Mus musculus: one gene and its partner. The protein of the gene in region 2 purifies or fractionates together with the protein of the main gene of each other region. This does not show direct contact. Links are inferred from orthologs where the notes say so. Each region holds a gene or a part of one and is shown on either strand. Other genes may lie near its edges.

Region 1 (3,991 bases), about 27 Mb from region 2:
ACAACAGCAGAACTCAGGTCCTCTGCAAGAGCAGGTCACACTCTTAACCTCTCCAGCCCCTCAGTGGCCTACTAAAAGTACTCCTGCTCACATAGCAGAGGTCTGTGTGCCCGTCTCCACTCCTGGCGATCACATAAATGTATTCTACCAACCAAAATACATTCAATAAGCAGCAGTCAGGACCAAACCTTGATGAGAAGCTAATAAACAGACTTCTAACAAGAAGCCTTAAGGGAACAATGCAACCTTGACAGGTAAAAGCCTAATAAAACATTTAAGAAAACTTTCAGACTGGTTCTATTGGTTCATGCCCAGCCCTTAGGAGGCTGAGTCGGGAGAACTATCTGGAATTTTAAAGCTAGCTTGGCCTCCACAGCAAATTCCAGGACAACTTGGGCCAGAGTAAGAGGTTGTTTCAAAATGCCAATAAATAAACAAATATATAAATAAATGTACTTAATATATTTTTAGGAAAATATACACAGAAAAAGATCAGAAAGGAAATATGCAAAAATGTTTACAGAAACAAAATCTAAGTGATAAGATTAAGAAAACTTAAAGAAAAAAAATTCCCAGTCTATTTTGTAATTCTAGCACTTAGAAACCCAATGCAGGAGGATGACAGGTTGGAAGACCTGAGCTACACTGTTTCAAAAGATGGGGATGGGGTGGGGGAGAAAGGAGAGATGGACTACTGCTTCCATGTTTCAAAGAGTATGTCTTACTTTAAGAAACAAAAATTAGAATAAAAAGACAAAGTCTCTTACTGTGATCTAGCCGGCTGGCCTGGCCTGGCCTGGCCCTCCTCCGTCTCCAAAGTGCAGAGGCTAAAAGCGTTCACCACCACCACCACCAGCAGCAGCAGCAGCAGCAGCTAGATCTTACTTTGATAAAGAAAAATGTAAGACTGAAAAAAAGTATGATTTCCTTGTACATATAAGCACTTACAAAACCAATAGTAAGTTCTAAGGCAATTCTTACAAATCATATATTGTAAGCATTTAGTAGTTACTAATTACTTGCTAATTTTTTTAAACCTGTAAAATAGAGCTTAAAAACTTTCACTTCTGGCTCTCCAATATTTTCATAACTAAAAATTAACAAGAAATTTTTTACTTTTCCAGAAAAATGGTGTGTGTCCAACTGTCTGTCTAGACTGTTAACAGTTCAGTTCTTATTACTATTTTTTTTTTTATAAATCTACAGTTTAATGTTCAATTCCAACACAGGGATCCAGAAGTTCTGATGCAATTTTAGAGAACTCACCAACGCAAATGCCTTGTGTGTAGAGAAGGTTAATTTAGGCACCTCTTTTAATTACTTCAGATAAGCACGCATCTAGTGACACTTTCTACAAAAGGTATTTTCCTTGGCTTGGACATAGATTTACTTAAATATCCCGGAAGCTGTCAAAATCGACCTCAAACTGCATTATATTTAGGAAACAATGCTAAGTCCTGACTGTGGCCTTCTCTGCTCGCCTGTCTTTCTCAAGAGCGCCTTTAATATGCCCTAGCATACATTTCCGGCCTCATGAGTCACTGAAAAATGAGTTCTAAGTTTTCCGTGGAAGGTCGTTCAAACAGCTCCTCTACAGCATTCAAAGATCTGACTCCAAATGCCTCTTTAGTCTACCCCACCTATCACGGCACCCGGTGATGGAATTGGCAACATTCGCATGCTCTTTGTACCTTTGTCCTCCAGCTTTGTTGCCCCTCCACGCCCTTCTCCACTGCAACCCCCTTCTCCCGAATCCAATCGAGTCTTCTAGACCCGGTTTAGCACCGCCTCGCCCAGGAAGCCTCCCAGGTTCGTGGGAAGGCGGAAACGATCGACAGGTCCAGTCACCCCGGAGCACCTTTCTAGCAATTGGTAGTTCCTAAACGGAACTTATCTATCCCCCTCCTGCCTGGTATCTTAGCTATTTGTGTACTCGTCTTATCTCTCACATCACCGCGTTAAAGCTCCCCAGGGGAGGGCACCTCCCGGCCGGGTTCACCTCGGAGTCGCTCCGGCACCGGCACGCAGTCGGCGTTTTGGATTGCTCCAACCGAACCCGGGAACGCGCCGAACGCACAATTCCTAGCCAGAAATCAGTTAGGCATTTTCCTGAAAGGTCCCCTACAAAGATAGTGTCAGCGTCCCGCTAACAGTGAGGCTACGCGGAGCCCAGGGCTAGGTGCTCGGAGTCCCCGGAGCGGCGGGAGTGACAGCTGGCCGGGCCAGCTCTACCCCGGTTAGTTGTAGCCCCGGCCGGCAGGCCCCCGGAGCCTAGTACGGGCGAGGACAAGGGCGGCGCCCGGAGCTCCGGCTGCTCCGGGCCGCTCCCGCCGCCGCCACCCGGGAAAATGGAGGCGGGTCGGGCGGAAGCCGGCGGGCGTCCGCGTCGCGAGCAGGGCCGGGCCGGGGGATCACTCACCGGGCTGGGCCGGGCCAGGGAGCTCCCTCTCTGCTTCGTCTCCGTCCCCGTCCTCGGCCGCCGCCGCCTCGGGCTGCTCGCTCGGTCCCCGCGGCGCGGCTCGGACGCTCCGGCCCTCCGTTGTCCTCCGCCCGCAGCTGCTCCGGGCGACGGGCTCCCGCGGCGGCGGCGGCGGCTGCGCGGGCGGACGGTGGCCCAGGGGTTCCTGCTGTGGCCGCCGCGGTGCTGCGCTCGGTAGGGCTGCGGCTGTGGCCGTGAGGTCCCGCACTGCCTTCGCCTCTGAGGTTGTCTCAGCCTTCGCGCGGCTACTGAAGCCCCAGACTCTCTCAGGCCGCGCGGCTCCTGGCGCCCCGCGCCCAGCTCCGGCCTGAGCCCGGCTTTGACGTGCGCACTGCGCAGCCGCCGAAGGCGGGACGTCGGGCGGCGCCGCAACGCCCTCTGCGTACTCGGGCGCCCCCGGACGGCCGGGCGGACTCGGGACGCCTGAGTCGCCGGCAAGTTGAAGAGCTGGGGGCACTGAGAAAAAGCAGAAGGGGAGCTGGAGTCGTCGTCTATGCGCCCCTTACTTGCTAGTTCCTGGAGGAACACAGTCCACTTCCTCAAGTCTTAAAACTTTACATCTGCGGAGGGCTCAAAACTGTTCAAATGGGTTCTTTCATGCTTGGGCAGAACCTGTAACTTCACTTTGGCATCTCCTGACAGGGGAAAAAAAGTGATGAAATATTCCAAAGAAACAAGATCCAACAAGGGTACATATCCTACTTTTTCCAAAGTGGATTTTAGTGGTGCATGCCTGTAATCCCAACACTGGGAGGTGAACTCAAGAGAATTAGGAGTTCAAGGTCATCCTAGACTTCACAGGTTTAGGTCAGCCCGGGCTGTGTGAAAAACTCTGCCTATAGATAGATAGGGAAGCAAGTTCCATGAAGAAAGAAAGAAAGAAAGAGAGAGAGAGAGAGAGAGAGAGAGAGAGAGAGAGAGAGAGAGAGAGAGAGAGAGAGAGAGAGAGAGAGAGAGAGAGAGAGAGAGAGAGAGAGAGAGAAACAAGTGCCATGAACACACACCCAGAGGAATAAAATAATGCATTACAGAGATCTAATGACAGAGTCTGGAACTCAAAAATGCTACATGTGTGCTCCTTTGCTATATGCTTAACAATGGGACAGGATTTTGGACAGCTACAGTGTGCTAAGGAAGTGGTTTCCTGAAGGAAGCAAGGCGATGTGAGCCTCCTGTGAGAACTTCAATACTTGAGAGAAGCAAGCTATCCATAGGATTTGGAGCAGGAAAGGGCCAGGCTTTGGCGTTTTAAAAAGGTCGTGATCAGAGGCAGGCGAATTTCTGAGTTTGAGGCCAGCCTGGTCTACACAGTGAGTTCCAGGACAGCCAAGGCTACACAGAGAAACCCTGTCTCAAAAAAAAAAAGTCGTAATCACTGTTACTGCGATATGAAGATCAGAGTGAAGGGCCGGAGGAATTCCACAAATACAGTAGACGGGGGTTGCTGACACCCTATAGTAGGGCTCGGGGGTATAGCTCAGGCTATACTATAATTATGGTAGATTCTGGATT
Region 2 (2,551 bases):
ATCTGAACACCTAGTTGGTGTTGGTGATCAGCTCTTCGGCGATGCTCTTTGCCCTACAGGAGGAAGTACGCTGCAGAGGGTGCTCTGAGAGCTTGTAGGCTTGCCCCAGTTCCAGTTCCCCCTCTCTGCTTCCTGTGATGTAGCTGAGATAGGACCTCTTAGCTCTCTGCTCCTGCTGCTTTGCCTTCTCTGTCAGTAAGGACAACTAGCCCTCTGCAACTCTTTTGATTGTGGGATTTTATCATAGCAACAAAAATGTAACTAAAACACAATATCTCCTGCTAGGGACGCAGGGCCATTAACAACAGCATGGGCTTCAAGGTTTACCCCACTACAGAAACAAGCATATAAAAGGCCAACATGCCATTTGTCTCTAGGAGATTGCCTGAAGTTTATACCATGTTATGTAAATTATGTGTAAAAAAGAGATTCTCTCAGCAAACCAAATTAGAATCTGTGTTCTAGTTTTGTTAAGCCACACAAAATATATAAAAGAGATGTTTAATTTTATACATTTTTATTGAGCTCCCACAGGGTGCATGAATTAATGATCTATAATTTACACAGGTAGAAAAGTGTTGTTAGCCCCTTCCCCTTTAAAATGCAAATTGCATCTTCTCTTTATAGTTCAAGTGAATTATTTAATGTGAGCAAGGCTCAGTTTGATGTTGCCATATGTAAAAGGAATAGTACAAACATTTTCCCTTCTCCAAAAAAGGGCTTTATACCAGAATAAACCAGCCTGTTCATCTACCAATAGCTGATCAAAAAGGCTAGTGAATCTGGAAGAGAAGATGCTCTGGAAGCAGTGTCCTCCGAGGAAGGGTTCATTCCCCAGAGAACAGTAAAATGTAGAAGAGAATTAACTAGCTCAAAAGTTACACTGAGATCCAGAAAGTACCAGTCACAGCTTAAAAGGTGGAAAAGAAGCGGGGGATGTGCGGAAGGGCGGGCGAGCGGACACTAGCTGAGCTGGGCAGTAACTGACGAGGAAGTCGTGCGGGTGCTCTGATCTGGGCAGAGAGGGTAAATCCACGCCCCATGAACAGAGTGGTTTAACTGATCGATTCTCCAGTGCACCAACTGTATTTTCAAGTATAGATTTGTCATTTGTACCTAACAGGACCGAAGACAAGCAGCAAGGAGAGGCTGTCAAGTATAGAGGACATGAAATGATTTGGCAACCCTAGAATTCCCACACTGGGTCTTTGTCATCAGGAAACTGGAATTCCAGCTCGCTCCACGGCGACACTGGCTGCAGTGACGCTGATGGCCTGTTATAAGCAGGTGGCAACAGGGGAAGTATGGAATCCTGGCTTTCTTCTTTCATCTGTTAAAGAAACTTAAAATAGTGACATGGGCACAGAGACTCAACACAAATTTTATAAGCAATAAATAACTTTTAAAGAAATTTTAAAACTTTAAAATTATTTTTAGGTCTTTTCCTTTTAAATGCTTCTAGTTCTGACAATCGAGAAAACCAAAGACTTAAAAGCTAAATAAACTAATTTTAAGCAGAATTATTCTGCCCTGCCATTATTTCTAGGTAAGACAGACACCAGTTTTAAGTTAATGAAAATATAGTGTGTGTAACATATGTTATTTTTACTGCTTTGTTTTTGAAGAATAAAAATCTTTTAAATATTCTATATATAATTAAGGCCACTAGATGGCTCACCAGGCAAAGGTGCCAAGGGTGTTTTACACCGGTACTTGAAAATCTAAGCTCTATCCTGGGGTCCACACAATGGAGTGAGAGGGTGACTTCCACAAGTGTCCTTATGACACATTCATGAACATACACCATGTACACACACACACACACACACACACACACACACACACACACACAAATAAGCCTAAAATTAACTACTAAAAATGTTCTTATTTTAATTCTATTTTATAGGGAAGTTATTATTAAATTTTTTGTAACCCAAGTGTCCTATGAAGCCAACTAATAAAGGCCTTTAAAAATAATATTTTAAAATATTTAAAACAATGGATAATGGACCAGCTCACCTGCTTGAAGAATACATGGGACAACAAACTGCTTGCTGATGGCCTGAAATTTTTGGAAAAGTTATTAGAAAATCTAACATCAGAAAATGTGTGTATGTGTACATTATTGTGTTTGTGTGTGTGTGTATGTACACACACAAAACTGTTTTAACTTCTTAGGAGTTTCCAAAGGTGCCTTAACAGACACACTAAGAACTGATTTGTTTATGGCAGCTCAGCTGGGCGTGGCATAGGCAGCTCAGCTGGGCGTGGCATAGGCAGCTCAGCTGGGCGTGGCATGGCCACGGAAGGAGCCCAACTGCTCTCCATACCTGCTCATTACTTGGACTTGTTCTTAGCACTGACACTCTTCAGATTAAGTTTCTTGATCAAGATACGTTAATTTTATGGGAAGAGTAATATCGTAAAACTACTATAAGATGTAAAGCACGTATGTTTTATGCTACTTAGAGGTGACTAGTATTACCTTTTCTCAGGATCTTGCTGCAAACACAGCTGCACCAAGCTAAAAAAGGCAGGAGAGAACGTCTTT

What was found.
Region 1: the proteins of Stradb (region 2) and Cab39 purify together in Homo sapiens (affinity purification with mass spectrometry; 3 studies listed by BioGRID and IntAct, counting the BioPlex papers as one, with this or other methods). This does not show direct contact. The link is inferred for Mus musculus from reciprocal best matches to the Homo sapiens genes STRADB and CAB39.

What each region holds. Positions count from the first base shown.
Region 1 is NC_000067.6:85,792,250-85,796,240, reverse strand, and holds the start of Cab39 (calcium-binding protein 39), read right to left. Parts: upstream 2,801-3,991; 5' UTR 2,420-2,800; intron 2,353-2,419; exon of another isoform or gene 1,267-2,352; intron 885-1,266; exon of another isoform or gene 768-884; intron 1-767. UniProt on the Homo sapiens protein: Component of a complex that binds and activates STK11/LKB1. In the complex, required to stabilize the interaction between CAB39/MO25 (CAB39/MO25alpha or CAB39L/MO25beta) and STK11/LKB1.
Region 2 is NC_000067.6:58,993,072-58,995,622, reverse strand, and holds the end of Stradb (STE20-related kinase adapter protein beta), read right to left. Parts: coding exon 2,486-2,551; intron 2,063-2,485; coding exon 2,020-2,062; intron 1,331-2,019; coding exon 1,187-1,330; 3' UTR 501-1,186; downstream 1-500. UniProt on the Homo sapiens protein: Pseudokinase which, in complex with CAB39/MO25 (CAB39/MO25alpha or CAB39L/MO25beta), binds to and activates STK11/LKB1.